Caenorhabditis elegans: one gene and its partners. The protein of the gene in region 2 interacts with the protein of the main gene of each other region in a pairwise test. Each region holds a gene or a part of one and is shown on either strand. Other genes may lie near its edges.

Region 1 (5,422 bases), on a different chromosome or scaffold from region 2:
TTTTCTCGAAGAGAACGATACAACGATGCTCCGATATTCCGCATCTCGCGTTGTTTAGCGAGTTTTCCAGAAGAAAAATTTCAAATATCAACGTGCGTTGCAGAAGAAAAATTGCATTTTTTTTTCAGATCTCCTTTTCGTTCACCTCATTTTTCGTGGGACCTCAAATTCAAGCGTTTTTAAGCATTTTTTTCGTCTTTTTTGCTTAATTTTCCGCGGGTTTTAATAAGTTTTATGCCGAAAATCGATAATTATTTGGACAAATAATATTTTTAAGCCATCATCTCGACTTCACGTGGAGTCAGAAAGTCCCATTACGCTTTGATCTTCCAAAAATGCGGGAGAAGATGCGCAGACATCTCATCCGATTTCGCATAATTAAGAGCGTGATGACGTCACAATTTTTCTGGAAAAATATTCCCGCATTTTTCGTAGATCAAACCGCAGTGAGACATTCTCACACCGCGTAGATTTAGAAATCATTGAAAACGGCTGAAAATGTAACAAAAAAGACAAAAAATGATTGAAAATCTTTGAATTTTCGCATTTTCCACCAAATACCCAACGAGACCCATCTGTTCGGGGCGGAGCGTTCATATTGAATTGGAAATTTTTCTGCGTCCCAATAATATTTCGAATTTCTAACCAAAGTTCCGGAATCTCGCCGCACAAGCCTCCTTTGAACTATCAAAATAGTCGAATCCATCGATTGGTGGTGGCTTCTGAGCTTGAAATGCACTTTTAACTGGTTGTGGAGTAACCGGTTTTCTCAAAGGTCTCTGTACAGTGACTGGAGTTGGAGTGGGGGCTATGTTCCAAGCGGAAGTAGACGGAACTTGGGGGTTTGGAGGAGCTAAAGGACGTTGTTGAAGGGGAGCTGGCGGACAAACTCCGGCTTTTGGAATTACTCGATAAGTTTGGCGGCCGTGAGCGTTGGGAACATCTATCTGAAAATAAATTAATTAGATATTTACCATAATACGGAATTTTTTCGACATATAACTACGTATTAGCTATAATTTGGCTCTTCTTCTGGCATTTTTTGAGGGTTTTCCAATTTTTTTTTCGATTGAACACCGCAGAAATTCTAGAAAATTACCTATTGCCTATCCATGTTTTTCCAACATTTTTCATTAAAAATTAGTGTGAAAAAATAGAAAATCCCTTGATTTTTCTGAAAATAACGTTGATTTTAGTTGAAAAATTTGAAAATGTACTATAAAATTACCTGGAAAGTGCAAATCAGTGATTTGCATCTTACAATTAATTTTGAAGCACATTTTCAAATGTTTCAACTGAAATCAACGTTTTTTTCAGATAAATCAAGTGAATTTCTATATTTTTACACTAGTTTTTAAAGAAAAATGTTGGGAAAATATGGTGCAATAGGAAATTTTTAGACTTTCCGAAAATAATGCTTCATAAAGTCGATTAAAGTTTGAAAATCCTCAAAAATTGCGAAAAAAGAGCCAAACTTTGAAAAAATCTGAAATTTCCGCAGCTTGAATATAGTTTTTTTTTGAATTATCACATATTTTGGCTGTTTATCAGTTATTTTAAGCAAATTGAATGCCCAGCGACTAAAAAAGCGCCTAAATCAGCGAAAAACTTCCCAAAAATGTTAAAAAAAAAGGGAAAATTCAATAAAACTGAATTCGAAAACGACTGCGAAAACGACAAGCTGACGAAATTTTAAATTTCAACAAAATTTTTGACGTTTTTCTCAAAATTTCAATACCGCAATATCATGATATTCATCAGTAGCCAACGCGGCTCTCCAACAGACTCCTCTCTCATTCGGCGCTTGCTCTCGTGCAACAAATTTGACACGTTGGCCCGGCTTAAACATTTCAGTCAACTTCTCAACGTCAGGACGAACAGTGGCTCGAGTCACGAATACATTGGTTGTCAAAGGCTTAGTATAGCCTGGAATCTGAATTTTGTAGTCTTAATAGTTAATTTCGTATTAAAATTGCTCGTTATTCCACGTTTCCACAAACCTTGGCAAGAGTTGGCGGATTTTTGGTATATTTCCAGTCAACGAACATATACTGAGCTTTATCATCGGGAATATTGATAACTGCACCCTCAGCAACCAACATTCGTCCTTGTTTGATAAATTTAAGCTCAGTGCCAACCCAAGCGAGTTCATAGTTTGCCATTTGTGATAGCTTATCGCCAACTTCAATATCTACCTGAAACATCGGGTTTTATTAAAGTTTTCCTGGAAATAAGCTTACAGTTGTAGCTTTTCTAGCATTGAATTGAACTATATCGTCATGTTTATATCCACGAGTGAGCAATTCCTTCTTAAAAAGAACACCTTTTCCATCATAGCGAACCATCATCATATCGTGTGAAACAGCGACGACGGAACCTTGCTTATGAAGGATTGTAGCCATTTTGTAGCTCTGATATTAATAAAAGATGATATTCAAAGAAGAGGCTCCACGAGAAGAGGATCGGCATAAAGTGGATCTAGCAGTGTTTTAATAAAAATATCTCTTAATTTTTTAGTAAAAATAGTGTTTTTTCGATTTTCCGTAAAATCTAAAATTAAAAACCTTCAGTTTCTCTGCCCTTAAATGTACTGGCAATTTCCAAATAAATTTCGTGGGACCTCTCGAAAACATGCAGTGAGACAGAAATATGAAACAAAGACTCTCAACAAGTAACCTGAATATGTTTTGAAAAAACAGTAGTGATATGGTCAACAATTTTATAATACCAAACAAAACAGATTTGTGCATGGATTTAATTGTATCCAAGAGCCTCGATGATCTTCTGGTATTGAGCGATCTTTGGGGCGGCATTCTTCTTTGCTTGAACGGCGAGCTTGTCCATCTTCTTTTTCTGTTCGAAGTAGGCGGCTCCCTTCACCTTTCTCTTAGCCTCGAGCTTGGCAACAACATCCTGGAATTGCCATCCGACCTCGTGCGATAAGCGTCCAACTGAAAATTAAATAATCGTTGTGATCAAAAAAATTATAATAACTCACCGACGCAGAACTTTCTTCTTGGTTGAAGTCGGAATCTGCTGGCTGATGGGGCATGGAGAGACTTGGTCTTCTGGTATTTGGCTGGAACTCCTTCGTAGGCGCGGAGGTTCTTGAGAGCCTCGTTTCCGCGGTTGGTCTTGTGTGGGAGCATTCCTGAATAGAGAATTTATTAATTTAAGTACAGATAATGTTTAAAATCACTCACCTCTGACGGTACGCCAGAAGATCTTTCCTGGAGCACGGTAATGGAAGGCTCCACGGGCTGGGTTGATGTTACAACGCTTGCGGAGGAAGCTCATGTACTTCAGCTTGGAACGGTGGAAGTTTCCGGAGATGACGATCTCTTCAGCTCTGAGGACGACAACCTTGTCTCCTTGGAGAAGCTTCTTTGCAACGATGGAAGCCAACCGACCGAGAAGGTGGTTCTTTCCGTCAATGATGATTGCTCTGTTCGACAGACCCATCGTTTACCCTGAAATAAATACTGATAAGAAGGGGAAAGTTTAGAAATACACGAGAGTAAAGGAAGAGAGATAAATCGAAGCGAGAGAACGCGCATAACAATAAATATATGAAAACTATTTCGAGAATTTATTTGGCAAGAATCCCGCACAAATTCTTCTAATATTTACATATTTCAGTAATCTTAATTTTGTCTATTTCTCAACACATTTTTCAAATAGAATTCTCCGGCTTTGTACGAAGAGCGAACAAGAGGGCCAGATGCAACGTAAAGGAATCCCAGTTTTTTCGAATATTCTGCCCACTGGTCGAATTTCTCGGGGGTCACCCATTCTTTGACAAGCAAATGACGTTTTGTCGGCTGCATGTATTGACCGAAAGTGACAACGTCAACATTGCTAGCTCGAAGATCGGCCAAGCACTGCTTTATCTCGTCTTCAGCTTCGCCCAGTCCTAGCATAATCGATGTCTTCGTGATTAGCTTTGGGCTGACTTCCTTTGCGTATCGAAGAGCTTAAAAAATATTCAATAATATTTACGAGATTCTGAAAAAAAAAAAAGCTGCTTACCGTCCAAAGACTGCCGATATTTAGCTCGTGGATCTCTGACCCATGGAGTCAGTCTTTCAACCGTTTCAATGTTATGTGCATATACATCGAGTCCACTGGTAGCCATTTTCTCCACACTGATCTTATCTCCAGCGAAATCGGGCAATAAGCATTCGATGAGAAGTTCAGGCTTCTTGAGCTTCATCAGCTGTACTGTCTTGCGAAGATGATCGGCTCCACCGTCTGGCAAATCATCCCTGAAAATTACTTTGATTAAAAGCTCAAGATACGAATAAGTTACCTGTCAACTGATGTTAAAACAATGTATTCGACACCCCATGAAGCAACGGCGGTCGACGTATTTTCCGGTTCCATAGGATCCAATGGTGGAGGAGCTCGAGCAGTTTTGACCGAACAGAATTTACAACCCCGAGTGCAGGTATCTCCCATCAACATGATTGTCGCTGTTGCTAGACTGTCATCTGATCCTCCCCAGCATTCTCCAAGATTTGGGCACCGTGCTTCCTGACAAACAGTCGCTAGTTTGAGATGTTTCAACTGCTTTTTTAGACGACTGACATTTTCGTTTTCCGATGGAAGAATCTGAAAACAATTGTGATGAGGGGCAAAAAATTGATAGGCTATACCTTTTCTTTCTTGAGCCATGGTGGAAGTCGCAAACGTCTGTCCCCTTTCTCCAGCTTCAGTTTTCCTTCGTACTTCTCAACAGCCTCTGCCACGGATGCTAAAATTAATAATTATTTGATTATGAAACAATATTGTTTGAGTTTTACCTGATGAAATAAAATCCTGAAGCGATGGTCCATCTTTGACGAGAACTTGCGGTTTTTTCTTTGTGGCTGCAAGTCCACGGACCCATACCCGAGCTAGCATGCTTAAACAATCTACCGGTAATAATTAAACTCCTTGTGTTGAAAATCAAGAGGGACCCCCTACAACTGAAATTCTGGTTGAGAAATAGACAAATTTGGATTTTGGGAACATTTTTCCACTTTTCCTACCTAGTTTCTGACAAATCTCGCAGAATAAGAACTACAATCGATAATTAGCACTATTAATCGTTTAAAAATTAAAAATTCAATCAATTTTATGCAAAAAATCGCGCAAAAACGTGAAAAATCAGGCGAAAATCGTGAAAAAATTTTAGGATAGCGGAAAAAGCCATGCGTTGAGGTTCGATGGGTCTCGCCACGATACGCAATCAGACGTGACGGTGTATGCACAGAAAAATCCACCGTAGTCCGCAAGGCCATTCGCAACATTTTTTTTCACTTCAACAATCAAATTTAACTCATTTTTCCAGCAGAATCTTGGGAATTTTCATAAAAACCTTAATAGTGAGGTCCCTTTTGACTTTTTACGTGGTTTATTCGTGATTTTGATCATAACTAGA
Region 2 (8,099 bases):
TAGCAGTATAGATTTGAAGGAAGGCCGCAAGCTGAATAAAACCTAAAATAAAATATTTCCGAAACTTTAAGAAAACAAAACAGCGTTAAAAATTCACTTCAGATAAACGATTCCGTAACATAATGTAGATCAAGGAACATCACATTCCAAAATTAAAGTTTCCAATTTGCAACATACCAGTTTTCACCTTTTTCCTCGACACACGTTTGTTTGATTAGAGAGTTTATTCTAATGCTCACCGCACCTTTTTTTACACGAACACTTTTTTATAAGGCAAACAGTTTGGCCGGAAAGAGAATGAGAGACACATAGACGAAAAGTGAACGGAAGAGCGGAAATCAAGAAGTTTCAGGTCTGGTACAGAGGGTGGGGGTATGGGAAAGTAGTATAAAAGAGAAGAACAGAGCTTCATTATCATCCGATTTTCTCGGTTCGAATCATTACTAAAATGCGCTTTACTTCACTTGCCATTGCCTTCCTTGCATGTGCCCTTGCGGTATCTGGAAGTGCGATCCGTGAAAAGAGACAGTGTGGATGTGCTCAGCCACAGCAGAGCCAATGCTCGTGCCAACAAGTTCAACAGACTCAGTCATGCTCGTGCCAATCTGCTCCAGTTCAACAACAATCCCCATCCTGCTCATGCGCTCAGCCACAACAAACTCAACAAGTTCAGGTACCTTTTATGCATTTATTTCAAACACTACTAAATTAATGATTTTAGGTTCAATCTACTCAATGCGCCCCAGCTTGCCAACAGAGCTGCCAACAGCAATGCCAGGCTTCTCCATCCGTGTCCCAGTGCCAGCCACAATGTCAGCAACAGTGCCAGGCTCAATGCACTCCAATGTACAACCCACCAACCACTACTACCACCACCCAAGCTCCAGTTGTCCAATACCAACAGTGCCAACCAGTATGCCAACAGCAATGTCAATCTACCTGTGTTCAACAACAACAACCAGCAGCTCAATGTCAGCCACAATGCCAACAACAATGCAATGTTGCCTGTGATTCCCCATCCACTACCACCCAGGCACCACAAGTGATCCAAATCCAACTCGAGATCCAACAAGCTCAAGCTCAATGCCAACCACAGTGCCAGCAACAATGCCAATCTTCATGTGTCCAGCAACAGCAACAGTCCAACCAGTGCGAGCCAGCTTGCAACACTCAATGCTCTGATATCTGCCAACAAACTGCTCAGGCTACCCAACAAGTCTACAACCAGAACATGAACCAGAACACCAACACCCAAATGTACAACCCATACAATACCAACACCAGCCAGAACGCTAACTGCGCTCCAGCTTGCCAACCAGCCTGTGACAACTCCTGCACTTCCCAGCAGACTCAACCAATGTACCAACAATACGACACCACCACTGAAGCTCCAGCTCAAGTCATCCAGATTGTTCTCCAGACTTCTGTTGCTCAATCATCCCAATGTGCTCCACAATGCGAACAGTCCTGCCAACAGCAATGTGTTCAACAACAACAGCCAGCTGCCCAGTGCCAAACTGCCTGCCAATCATCATGCTCTAACTCCTGCCAAACTGCTCAACCAGCAACTACTGCCTGCCAACAGAGCCCACAACAGAGCTCCTGCTCCTGCCAAGCTAACTACTCTCCATGCGGAAATGGACAATGCTGCCGCAGAAAGTAATTTAATTGTTCCTGATTCTTGATTTTTGTATATACCGAAACAATTCAGTTTCAATAAACGCATAACTTTTTAAAAAGTGTCTTCCAGAATCTCAAAGTTTTCACTGTATAATGAAAAGTGGTTCACAAACTAGCATAATCATTACTATCGGAAACAGTGAAATATTATTAAAGTGAATGCCTGAAATAATAATGTAACGAGTATTGCATATCAAGATACCAGATTGTCTAAAAAAGTAAAACTAATTTTAATGAAAATGGAAAACATTTTTGATATATCGCTATAAAGTTATCACTCGCAAGTATTATCAGAAAAAGTATGTAGCAATTTTAATTGTAAGCTAAAATAAATTTTAACTTCTAAGGTCGTATTACATTTTTCGTAATGAAGGAACAGTGTGGTAGTGAAACACGTAAAGTCGTGAACCTAAACGATTTGAAACTAAATTGAATTTAAAATACTTCATCAGTGAGCTTTTTTTTTTTAATCTCTAGTTTCTAAACTCCTGCTGGCGAGCTAGAAAATTCTTGTAAATCTAACTTTTCTATAAATATTTCTTTGATGAGAGCATTTTTCAATGAGTACAGAAATAGATAGAACATACGTAAACCTGTATCAATGCCAACTGAACAAATGTTTATGAGATTTTCTAAAAATGTAGTCGAAGAAGAGACGCTAACAGTTTTTAAATAAACATGTTGTGTTTCGAAAACAACTGGTTTATTCTGGTTATTTTTATGTCACGTCAGATTTTTAAAGCGAGAAGGTTTAAAAAGTTATGCGTTTATTGAAACTGAATTGTTTCGGTATATACAAAAATCAAGAATCAGGAACAATTAAATTACTTTCTGCGGCAGCATTGTCCATTTCCGCATGGAGAGTAGTTAGCTTGGCAAGAGCAGGAGCTCTGTTGTGGGCTCTGCTGGCAGGCAGTAGTTGCTGGTTGAGCAGCTTGGCATGAGTTAGAGCATGATGATTGGCAGGCAGTTTGGCACTGGGCAGCTGGCTGTTGTTGCTGAACACATTGCTGTTGGCAGGATTGTTCGCATTGTGGGGCACATTGGGATGATTGAGCAACAGAAGTCTGGAGAACAATCTGGATGACTTGAGCTGGAGCTTCAGTGGTGGTGTCGTATGGTTGGTACATTGGCTGAGTCTGCTGGGAAGTGCAGGAGTTGTCGCAGGCTGGTTGGCAAGCTGGAGCGCAGTTAGCGTTCTGGTTGGTGTTGGTATTGTATGGGTTGTACATTTGAGTGTTGGTGTTCTGGTTCATGTTCTGGTTGTAGACTTGTTGGGTAGCCTGAGCAGTTTGTTGGCAGATATCAGAGCATTGAGTGTTGCAAGCTGGCTCGCACTGGTTGGATTGTTGCTGTTGCTGGACACATGAAGATTGGCATTGTTGCTGGCACTGTGGTTGGCATTGAGCTTGAGCTTGTTGGATCTCGAGTTGGATTTGGATCACTTGTGGGGCCTGGGTGGTAGTGGATGGGGAATCACAGGCAACATTGCATTGTTGTTGGCATTGTGGCTGACATTGAGCTGCTGGTTGTTGTTGTTGAACACAGGTAGATTGACATTGCTGTTGGCATACTGGTTGGCACTGTTGGTATTGGACAACTGGAGCTTGGGTGGTGGTAGTAGTGGTTGGTGGGTTGTACATTGGAGTGCATTGAGCCTGGCACTGTTGCTGACATTGTGGCTGGCACTGGGACACTGATGGAGAAGCCTGGCATTGCTGTTGGCAGCTCTGTTGGCAAGCTGGGGCGCATTGAGTAGATTGAACCTAAAATTTTTGATTTAATGGTTTGCGAATATGTTAATGAACTGTACCTGAACTTGTTGAGTTTGTTGTGGCTGAGCGCATGAGCAGGATGGGGATTGTTGTTGAACTGGAGCAGATTGGCACGAGCATGACTGAGTCTGTTGAACTTGTTGGCACGAGCATTGGCTCTGCTGTGGCTGAGCACATCCACACTGTCTCTTTTCACGGATTGCACTTCCAGATACCACAAGGGCACATGCAAGGAACGCAATAGAAAGTGAAGTAAAGCGCATTTTAATAATGATTCGAACCGAGGAAATCGGATGGTAATGAAGCTCTGTTCTTCTCTTTTATATGACTTTTCCAGCTGCTCAGTAAACCGGTTCCAGTTCCTAATTTCCTGATCCTCTTCTAAATGTGACTCTCTCTTGCGGCCGCGCGCAAAAGCGTTCGCCTAAAGCTTCAAGTAAGCTATCGAGTCACTAAAAAACTCCGAGCTAATACAGGAATAAATTGTAGTATTGCGCAAGCAAAGAAGAGAGGTCTTGTTTGAGTTTGCTCTATGACCTTGTTCACGCAAGGTTCGCACATGAGAACTAGTTTTCAAGGGCAAACAGCGATAAGCAATCTATTTTTATAAGATTTATCTTTTAATTTTGTTTAAATTTTTGAACCGTTCTAGCTAATCGAAAATCAAAAGAATCAATGAACCACATAGACACGTAGACATGTAAGAACGACAAATTTCGACTCTAATTTAATTTACATGATTTGTCATGCATGACATAAGTTGGTTTTCAGACCCGAACATTTTTTCGATTTGATTGTATAGAGCTACAGTGGTTGCTGCCTCGCTTCTGGGATTTCCTAGCTTCCGGGATCTCTAGAGTTTGAAATTTTAGTTTTGAACTCACTTTGAAACACATTTCAAAGTTTAAAAAATTAGGTATAAAAACATTTAGTTAATAGCCTAACGGATTTTTTAAAAATAAATTGTATCTATGCGAAATGTGAAAGAAACTATGTTTGTATTGTAGCTGAACGCCACCGGCCCAGGTGACTCGAGCCTGACAAGAAAGTTTCAATTTTTCCAGATATTTCTCTCTCATTCATAACATTAACTTTTTCATTTCCTGTTGGCTGCAAATTACAATCATGATTTCCGTGACAACAATCTCTGCAATTATGCTTTTGGTAAGATTTTATTGTAGCTCAAACAAATTGATGTACCTTCAGTTTTCCCTCTGTGGATTTACAATAAATTGGGCAATTGTGATTATAATGATAAAAGTTACAAAGTTGCAAAAACCATTTGCAATTTTAACTGTTGGTCTAGCGATTGCTGATGGAACATTTTCCGCGCTCTACTTATTCTATGCAACTCCAATGGTATTTTTGTAAGTTGAACAAGTTTTTTTTTTCATTCAGCGAGGCCAACAGTTAAAATAAAAATTCCATTCAGCGAGAGCGATATTTTATCAAATTATTCGAGTGTTTGTGGATATGTTCTTATGATTTGCTACAGTGCTTCAACAACTTTTCATTTCATGATATCCCTTAACAGAATTCTAGCAGTGTATAAACCAATGCTTTATCGTATGATGTTTAGTGTTTTGTTCACGTTTTGTATAGTAATGGGAATTTATTCCTACGCACTTACAATCATAACACTATTTTTTCAAATTTGTAGGTTAGTTTAATGTCAACTAAAATTGACGGGAGAGTTGCAGTGGGATGTCAAAATTTTTATGACCAAGAAACAAGAGCATTTCGTTATTCTGGAGGAGACGTTTGTCGTTTTTATGCAACTTATTTAGACTTTTATCTTGTTTTTTCATTGACTATTTCCAGTACTATTTTGGACTTTTTAGCTATCGGAAAAGTGTTAAAAATTAGCTCAAAAACAGAAAAGCACTCAAAAGAACTTAGCTTGTTGAAACAGGTAATATTGATCTTTATAGATTGTTTTAAATAATAATTTCAGTCCATAAGCCAAACTCTATTTGTTCTTGCAATCGTTTGTAGTTTTACTTGGGGTCCGCGTTTTATTCCAGACATTGATTACACCTTTATTTTCTCTTCTATTCTCTGGTCTTCAGTGCATATGTTTGATGGGTAATTGTAAATATTCTAAATACTCAAAAAGTTCTAATTTAGGTTTTTCACATTGATTTTCAATCCAGAAATCCGAAGGAGCTGTTCCAGAAGCGGCCAGCCACTGGCATTCAACGTTGTTAGATCGAAATCGGCTGCATTGGATTAAGAATAGAGGTCTTTGTTAGTGGAATTGTAATGCTCAAGCCAATTGTCATTGTCTAGGGTTTTAGGAACTGAGTTATTTTTATATCATGAATTTTGGTTCAGAACATGTGCTTGTAAAGAAAAAATATGTACATTTTAAATTTATGATTTGCATGATCAAAGTCACATTTGTTCCCATCTTCTAAGAACAAGCTGCAAGAAAATCATCAAAGTGGAAAAAAATCAAAAAAAATCGTAAATATGGTACTTTGTGCGTGCTCCAATGGTTTTGTTCCTTTTCCTTAGATAAATTGTACATCAATGTATAGTTTTATAAGATAACCAAAAATGAATAGAAAATGCAAAAATCAAAGCAAAAAATCTGGTAATTGCGCCACTTATTTGCCAGCTAGTTTATTAAATTTTAATTATATGGAGCACAAAAAGGATTTCTGTTTTTATCACCACGGAAGTTTAATATTTTCATATTAGACTTCCAATTTAAATTTGAGTATGAATGAACTCCCAGTTTGAATTTCCCCCAAAATGAAAACAGTAAGGCCAATCAGTGATTCGTTCCTCCCACTCTTCTGGAGCCAATCAGATAAACTGTGTCAAGTTGATTGGTTCAAAAATGAGTGGAAGGAAATTAATTGGAAGGGAATTCAAACTTGCATCCTTCCCAAATCTATAGTATATATAAAACAGTATTTTTGAAACATCCATTTTTAATTCTTTCTGAATTGTTTCTTGTGTGTGAAACCAAACAAAAAACTAGAGAATATTTAAACTGTGTGGGGAGACGATTACACGTAAACAAGAAAGGGTGGTAGTTAATTGTTCTGTTAGGGGTATAATAAACGATGAGTAATACGTACATTAGGAATTTTCTCTGAACAACATGAATTTTATTAAATTTTTTTTAACAGCTTAAATAATATGTCTACGAAAAAATCTCCAATACAAACCTTAACCGATTGAAAAATCAAAACATCTCTACCTCACTCTGTCATGCACTTCTATTTAATCAACTCAGAGCTCGGTTCATTGCAGGTACTCGTTAAATGGCAGGTGTGGCACTGACTCCACCCAATAAATAGAAGTGGATTGAGGTCAAAATATCTATTGGTCTAGGATACTTGTTTTCTGTTTCGAAATATGATCTCGGAAAAAATAGTTGCTGCAATTATGATTGTGGTGAGCTGAAATTCGAACTTTTTTTCTCCAACTTAGCAATATTTTTTTCAGTTTTCTTCATGCGGGTTTTTCACAAATTGGGCGATCGTAATATTAATGATAAAGGTTACAAAATTGCAAAAACCATTTGCTATTTTAACTGTTGGTTTGGCAATTGCCGATGGAGTATTTTCAACTTTATACTTGTTTTACGCAACTCCTATGGTGTTTTTGTAAGTTTTTGAATAAAACAATATGTCGGGCAAAATTGAATAGGTATTTTTTTTGGTTTTTCCAAAAAAATTTAATTTGAAAATGTATACATATAATCCAGTTAAATTGCCTTTTGGGCAATCTTACAGAAATGTCTCGAATTTTATAGAAGTTCCGTATATCTACATAGTAGTGCGGTAGTTTCTCAAAGAAAATTAAGTTTCCCGCCAAAATTATTTGAAAAATTGAAAAAATCCCGCTGAAATGTTTTTTGCTACTCGACGACACTCCAAAAACCCCATATCGATATTCCTTCAAAAAACAAAAACTCATTTTTTTCAAAACTACAGTAACCCTACAGTACTCCAGTCTACAGTATTCCTACACATTTTCAGCCAAAACGAATTCCTGGACTATTGGTCCCATCTATGTGGGTACTTTTTGATGATATGCTATGATGCTTCGACATATTTTCATTTTATAATATCATTAAACAGATTTCTAGCAGTATTTACTCCAGTTCTTTATCATAAAATGTTCAGTATAACATTTACCAAACTAATTGTTATGGCTACCTACTTACTTTCGTTTATACTTATCACTTTGTTCTTTCAAATTTGTAAGTTTTCATATTATCAATTAAAAAAACCAAGTCATCTTTTCAGTGGGCTGCCAGAATTACTACAACGCAGAATACCGAGCATTTCAATATTCCGGTGGGGCAATTTGTAGTTTGTATGGAACTTATGGGGATTTTTATCAAGTTTTCACTCTAACCATTACCAGCACACTTTTGGATTTCACTGCAATTGGGAAAGTGGTGAAAATGCGGTCGAAATCCGACAAAAACTCGAAAGAGTTGAGTTTATTAAAGCAGGTATTCACAAAAACTGTTTTCATAAACTAAAAAATATATTTATTGAAAATTCCAGTCCCTCAGCCAAACTTTATTTGTTCTTGTCATTGTTTGCTGTTTCACATGGGGACCACGACTTATCCCAGAAAAGCAATTCACATTTATATTCTCTTCAATTTTATGGTCAT
Region 3 (7,011 bases), on a different chromosome or scaffold from region 2:
AAAAAATGACATTAGGAAACTGAAATGGTTTTAGAAATTATAACTTACGACAAATCCAAAACCATTCTTGAGTAGGACGTCGCGAATTTGGCCATAACCACGGAAGAAATGCTCAATGTCCTTTTCAGAAACACGAGAAGTCAACCGACCGATGTAAATTCGAGCTGCCATGCTGAAAAGAAAGCGAATGAATGAATGGCCTGTATCACAGAGGAGAAAAATAATATTGAAGACGAGAAGATTATCGATTCACAAAATGTGCGCGTTTGAGAGCGCACTCACAGACAATGTAGCCATGACAACAACGCGCACCTTGGCCGATAAGCGGGGCAGCTGTTTTACTCAAAACACACTCATTTTCTCTGCGTACAACCACTCTTTTCTCGTCTGCGCCCTACATTTCTTAAATTAGTTGCAATGTTTTTCTCCTAATTAGTTTCAAACTCTGACCCACATATGAAAAAAATGATCTTGCATTTGCGTAATCCTAAAATTCCTTCCTTTCGAATTTGATGATTTTCTGCGTTTTTTAAAGTTCTAATATCGTTTCCTAGCTTGAAAATAATTTGAAGTTTTTTTTAAAGTAAATATATAACACTTAACGCTTTCACATCCAGGTTAGCCAATGGACTCATTTTGCTTTGATATTCTTTATTTGAGATTCTGTGAATCAATGCCTTTCATCACAAAAAAAACATCTTAAAGCGCTTATTCGACTTATTTTCATATAAAATCCTAAAACCACAAGATTATAGTTTGCATTCTGATGAAAAGTTAAGAGCATATCAACCTGAACACCTACGCAGGCGAAATTCAATGCAGGATTAGTGAAATACTTTAAAAATAAGAAGAAATGCCGCACAAAATGCGAAAATCAGTTTCAAATGAGGGCACCCGCGACGCAACCGCAACGCTTAGAGCACTAAGTGCGTGTCAGAACGCTGCTGACGCATTAATGGGATACCATTGCGCGTTTCTCGTTTTATAACTCTGTGGCATCGTCCTGTGCTCCCATTTTATTGATTATCGACTTAATTTCAGCGCGTCGCGTGCATGTGCATGTACATATTGCCTCCTATTTAATGTGCAATGCCCAAATTCTCTTCCTCTCTGGCCACAATAATTTTTATTTCTCCAGACTTTTCTTATTTCTTCTCTCTTTTGAATTGACTTTTCTCATTCTTCACTTATTTCAGACCTCTAAACATGGTTCGTGTCTACATCGGTCGTTTGCCAAATAGAGCATCTGATCGTGATGTCGAGCACTTCTTCCGCGGATATGGAAAGCTGTCTGATGTCATAATGAAGAACGGATTTGGTTTCGTGGTAAGAGATAACATATTTTCGTCAGAATATCTTGAATATGTCATAATTTCAGGATTTTCAAGACCAGCGCGATGCCGATGACGCTGTCCACGATTTGAATGGGAAAGAGCTTTGTGGAGAGAGAGTCATTCTTGAGTTTCCACGGCGTAAAGTTGGGTACAACGAGGAAAGAAGTGGGAGTGGTTTCAGAGGACGTGAGCCAACGTTCAGAAAAGGCGGCGAGCGCCAGTTTTCCAACCGATACAGTCGTCCGTGCTCGACTAGATTCCGTTTGGTGATCGATAATTTGTCTACTCGTTACAGTTGGCAGGTAAGATACATGACTGCGAGCCATAGCGATTCACAAGTTGCGTGTTTGAGTGTGATTGAACAACTAACGAAATACTACCCCCGTTCCAAATTTTACTGAAAACTGTCACTCATTTTTTCAAAACGAACATTTTGAATGCTACAGCAGCAACTCAGTGGGTGTGCCATTTGCCAATACAATTTGCAATTCAATTGCTCTCAATCAATTTCCTCAGTCAATGGCATTCTTCTTCCTCCTATCAATCTGGCCCTACTTCACAAACAATCAATACCCTGTACCTGAATTTTAGGACATCAAGGACCACATCCGCAAGCTGGGAATCGAGCCGACCTACTCCGAGGCGCACAAGAGAAATGTCAACCAAGCGTATGATATGCACTTCTTTTAAATGTAATTCATCGTTTTTATTTTTAGAATCGTATGCTTCACTTCCCATGACGACTTGCGTGATGCGATGAACAAGTTGCAAGGTGAAGACCTGAACGGAAGAAAGCTCAAATGCACGGATGAGACCCGTGACCGCAGCCGTTCAAGAAGTCCACGCCGTCGCTCTCGATCCAGAAGTCCCACTAGAAGCCGTTCTCCACCAGCTCGTCGTCGCAGTCCTGGATCTGACAGATCGGACAGAAAGAGCCGTAGTGCATCACCAAAGAAACGATCCGACAAGAGAGCTCGCAGTGAGAGCAAGAGCCGTTCTCGTTCCGGCGGAAGGTAAAAATAAATTTATGATTAGTGAGAAAATACATTTCTATTTTCCAGACGTTCCCGCTCCAACTCTCCACCAAACCGTTCTCCATCACCAAAGAAAAGACGCGACAACTCTTCTCCACGTTCCGGATCTGCATCTCCATAATTTTATTTATCATTGCACCTCTCATGTGAAATTTCCTGTTCCATCTATTTTTTTATCGTAACGTCAGTAACTCGTGCAAAAAGCCGAATCATGTAATCGACCAATCTAATGTTGTGCGTCTCTCTCTTTCTCTCTCTCTGTTTGTGTGTTTTTTTGTCTAAAAACTACCACTAATTTAATATATTATTTTTATAAAATTCAATAAAACAATTTGGATGCAAACTTTGCAATTTTTTATCGAATACATAACACTTCTCATAAAGTTCATTTGAAAACAATTGAATATTCGCGAAAAAGTTTAATCTAGCTCGCTCAACGTGAAGTGTGAAGCACAGTTATTGCTGTTTTTTGTAGTCGGGAAGAACGGACAGTTTGTACTTGGGCAATGTAATCCAACTGAAGGATCACTCAAATTGACACTGGTTTGTTTGAATCCAACCTAGAAAAATCCCATTAAACAATAAAATCATTATTCCGGAGTTATGATTACTGGTTGAACAATTGTGTTCCAAAGATGCATTCCAATATTTCCATGCCCGTAAGCCGAGAAATGGAAGCAATCTGGAGCAAAGAATGTCATGTCAACAACTCCTGGGCTCTGGAAAATGCAAATATTTAAATGAAATTTAAATTCAAAATGTGCCAACCGCGTATGGTGGATCCAGAATCCCGTTGAAAAATGGTTGAACTACAAACGTGAAATCATCCTTGTTATCGAATAATCCCGTGTTTTGAATATCTTTTTCAGCATTCTGAAAACTTTTAAAAATTTAGAAAGATGTGTCCCACCACGACCGAAACTTTTCAGCTACCGTACCGTATGCGACACTACGGTATCTGAAAAGTTTGGCTCACGTCAAGACCTGGGACTGGTAATAATCCAAAACAAACCATATATCCGAAGCAAACTCCTTGAATATCATCATCAGTGAATTGTTTGTTGGACTCACAATCACATTCGAATCTAAAAGCCAAAAGTTAAACAGAATTTTTAGGAATTCAAGTTCCCCTACGTATGAAGTCCTTCGCAGAAATACTTCTTCTTGTCAATCTTACGAAGCATTCTCATGTTGAACATTCCGGTCAGTGAGACAATTGTTCTGGAATAAATATTTGAATTTTTAAACTCACGCCACGAAGAAAAAGTTTTGCAAACTGAAATTCTACTGAACAGTTTAAATTTGAAATTCGTGCGCCTCTAAAGAGTACTGTAATTTTAAAATTTTGTCTTTTTGCTCACAATTTGTTAAAATTCATCTGGTTTTTATTATTTTTTCTTAGTTTTTGTATAAATATTTTTTAAATAAAAAACTTTATGGAAATTCAGTTTGAAATTACAGTACTTTTTAAATGGCACACACCCGTTTTAACTTTACAAAATATTATCGCGCCGAGACCGGATACCGTATTCTTAGCGCAAAAATTGCAAAATTTCGCGTCTATTCAATACCTTGGCAGATTATCCTGAAGAATCTGAACAGCTGCGATGATATTCTTCTCAAAAGTTGCATTTCCATGAAGAGCCGTCGAGTTGAAGTACGGATCTTCACAATAGACACAAATATCGTTTGCCCCAATGAAAATGTTGACAAGTTTCCAGTCTTCTTTCACGTTAATCTGAAAGCTTTGATTTGAAAAGGGGGCTCAGAAGCTCTAAATTACTTCAGAATGAGCATGCATAGTGTTGACCAGAGCTCTTGCCTGACCGATAATATCCTTGGATTCAGCTCCAGGAACTCCCATATTCAAGTGAGAAACTTCCCATACGTTTTCCGAGCCGATTCCTTTTGAGGCACCCACCAAGGTTGGATTGAACTTTCTTAGTACATCTGAAAGGTTTTAGAAGGGTAAAAATATTATCAAAATTGTAAAAACTCACTTGCAACAGTAATGTGCTCATCAAGGCTTTTATCACCTCCAATCTGGAAGGCAAGTCCTCTATATTGCAGGATGACTGCCAGCGGGTCTCCTGGTTGAGCTCCAGCACCATTGGCTGCCTGGAAGTTTGACCTAATTGGTTTTAGTAAAATTAAAGCATACTCACAGTCAACGAGTCCCCAAGTGCTCCAATAACCTTGATATCAGCAAATCGAACACTATGAGCACTGGTGGGAACTTTCTTACTCTTTGCCATAACACTAGCGTCACACGACCAGTTCGGAGCTCCGAGATCCTTGAGCCCATGAGCCAGGGAGCAACATAGCAACGTGGTAACTGAACGTAAAGAATGGGTGTATTTTTCTAACTAAAAGGCTAGATTTTTGACTAATTTTCTAGTATTTATTAGCAGGTTGCAAATTGAACAACTATGTGGAATTTGAAAGTTGTAGCCACCACCCACTGCGGCTGAGATCGTGAAGAGACCTACTCAGAAAAATAGCGAGCGCGTATAAAGCAAAGCGGCAATTTTTACGAAATTTGGATATTTAAAATTTAAAATTAATTTCTTGTTTTCTGAAAAAAAGGAAAGAATACATGTCTAGGAACCTATGAACAAGAGCATGATAGATACAAAATCATTTTTAAAAAATTGAGATTCTCCTAGCAGAATACACGAGCCTACGTAAATCTAAACGATTAGTTTCTTTTTCTAATAATTCCTAATTCAAAATGACCTACCTAACCACCGCATGATTCAGTAGTGCTGTCTGAAACAGAGTCTCAAAAAGATGATATTCAAGACATTATCGACACCCACTGCTTATCACCTTTATAGTCTTTATCAGGACATTTTGATTTGCGTCCGGACATGCTCTCGCAATCCAATTTGTATGTACATTCATTTAGGGGTTTGAACAGGAAAAGTGGGTGGCGAAACATATAAATTATTAGAAATTAGAAAGTTCTAGCCTCCAGTTGGTGCTTGTGCTCCGAGAATTCCGATTCCACTGTTGACACCGACGAGTGATTTTGGTGGAGCGTACTTTGGAAGAGGGATGAAGCCGAGCTGTAATCTACAGTTTTATTTTGAAGTATTGTAATTTAAAGGGTTTTCGGTAGAAATTTTGGTTTTGAAAAAATATATAGTAAAAGGAAAAAACTGTAAAAAATGAAGGTCGGAAAATTTCAAAGTTTTTGTAAATTACCAAATTTTTCAAACTTTCCAAAAAAGTTTCCAGAATATTTGACTACTCTAAAATATCCTTTAAACGTCAAAAATTTACAACGATTTAGTCTAAATACACCTAATATACTCCAGAAATGGTAAAATTGTATAATAGAAATCCAAAAATTTTCAGATTTTATAAACTTGCAGGCAAGTTTTGGTAAATTGTCAAATTTTCCAAAAATTAAGACTATTCCGCAAAAAAACTGCTTATTTCAATGTGATAATTCTACTTTTTGAATCCAAAATTTATATACATAGAAATGCAATAAAACATTGGACCGATCTGAGAATAAAACTTATTAATGTCAAACAGTTTCAAACAGGGTCTCAAATAGTGTCTGAAAGTTGCTTGTTGCCGAAAAAGTGTTGTGAACCAGCGACTCCGGCACTATTTGAAAGCTTTTTTTTTGAAACTTTCATCAAGAATACATTTTATTCTCGGATTATTCAAACATTTTACTGAATTTCTATATTAATTTGCAATTTAAAAAGTAAGATTTTCGTATAGTCCTTATTTTTGAAAAATGAACACTTGGAAATTTTGCCAATTTACCAAAACTATGCCAGAAAGTTTATAAAATCTAAAATTTATTGGATATATTTTTGAGATATTTCCAAATTTCGGACTATATGAAGTGTGTTTAGACTAAATCCCTACTGTCGATACCTGTAAATACAGTTCAATACAATTTAGATACATATGAGCACTTTGAACTAGAAAAAAGGTAGATCAGAAATTTTTAGACCCAAACGTAGATTTTTGACGTTTTCAGGGCATTTAAGGATAGACAAATATTTTGAAAGTCTTTTGGAAAGTTTTTTCCAAGTATTGAAGTGTGTGAAAAATCTTCTCAAAATGAATTTGCATAAACCAAACAGCCTTACATTAACCGCCTGTATATACTTCATCGCTTTTCCAGACACAATCAAATCCTTATTCCCATCGTAGTCGTTCAATGATTGTTGTTCTCCCTGGAAAAAGAAAACAATACGAATATTCGTCTCCTCTGTCTTTTCTCCCGTTAGCCTTTTTTTCCGTTCGTCTTCATATTCTCGATAGAAACAATCAAAAAAAGAACGAAGCGCGCCGCCGGCACCGTACGAAGCGAAAACATAAACATTTGATAGTTTGGGAATGGGGTATGCAAATCGCATACAATTTCTTCGTTTTTCTTATTTCTTGCAGTTCTCTCTGATAGCGCCCGTCAACGTGGAACTAAGAAATCGAGAACCGCCCCACTCCACACCGGCTCTTTCAATTCACTTCTATGCTCACTTTTATTCCATAAAGTGTATGTATGGACCTACTAATATTACTACTCTGATTGTACATACCAAACACACAGCGGGGATTCTTTTATTATTATAAAATCATATGCATATACAGGCCCCTACTAATAATAGTCGTGGCAC

The links.
Region 1: the proteins of abu-15 (region 2) and rpl-13A interact in a two-hybrid assay, tested with the Caenorhabditis elegans proteins (one large-scale study listed by BioGRID).
Region 3: the proteins of abu-15 (region 2) and W02B12.1 interact in a two-hybrid assay, tested with the Caenorhabditis elegans proteins (one large-scale study listed by BioGRID).

The regions. Positions count from the first base shown.
Region 1 is NC_003281.10:3,500,135-3,505,556, forward strand, and holds rpl-13A (Large ribosomal subunit protein uL13), read right to left. Parts: upstream 3,471-5,422; 5' UTR 3,463-3,470; coding exon 3,204-3,462; intron 3,152-3,203; coding exon 2,999-3,151; intron 2,952-2,998; coding exon 2,755-2,951; 3' UTR 2,707-2,754; downstream 1-2,706. Other genes in the region: M01F1.8 (VWFD domain-containing protein), read right to left, coding at 647-947, 1,739-1,933, 2,001-2,195, 2,241-2,402; lias-1 (Lipoyl synthase, mitochondrial), read right to left, coding at 3,645-3,973, 4,030-4,265, 4,310-4,611, 4,656-4,753, 4,803-4,902.
Region 2 is NC_003283.11:5,154,242-5,162,340, reverse strand, and holds abu-15 (Activated in Blocked Unfolded protein response), read right to left. Parts: upstream 3,740-8,099; 5' UTR 3,719-3,739; coding exon 3,494-3,718; intron 3,447-3,493; coding exon 2,505-3,446; 3' UTR 2,434-2,504; downstream 1-2,433. Other genes in the region: abu-6 (Activated in Blocked Unfolded protein response), read left to right, coding at 449-673, 722-1,663; srx-39 (G-protein coupled receptors family 1 profile domain-containing protein), read left to right, coding at 4,581-4,619, 4,662-4,822, 4,888-5,111, 5,156-5,367, 5,410-5,540, 5,583-5,688; srx-38 (G-protein coupled receptors family 1 profile domain-containing protein), read left to right, coding at 6,825-6,863, 6,915-7,075, 7,451-7,674, 7,721-7,932, 7,988-8,099.
Region 3 is NC_003280.10:11,447,141-11,454,151, reverse strand, and holds W02B12.1 (Lipase_GDSL domain-containing protein), read right to left. Parts: upstream 5,131-7,011; 5' UTR 5,122-5,130; coding exon 5,109-5,121; intron 4,704-5,108; coding exon 4,534-4,703; intron 4,487-4,533; coding exon 4,369-4,486; intron 4,319-4,368; coding exon 4,152-4,318; intron 4,107-4,151; coding exon 3,940-4,106; intron 3,590-3,939; coding exon 3,503-3,589; intron 3,454-3,502; coding exon 3,381-3,453; intron 3,242-3,380; coding exon 3,137-3,241; intron 3,088-3,136; coding exon 2,980-3,087; intron 2,929-2,979; coding exon 2,788-2,928; 3' UTR 2,707-2,787; downstream 1-2,706. Other genes in the region: rsp-1 (putative splicing factor, arginine/serine-rich 1), read right to left, coding at 49-171; rsp-2 (putative splicing factor, arginine/serine-rich 2), read left to right, coding at 1,207-1,326, 1,379-1,636, 1,926-2,002, 2,051-2,347, 2,396-2,489; W02B12.13 (uncharacterized protein), read right to left, coding at 5,318-5,443, 6,484-6,570.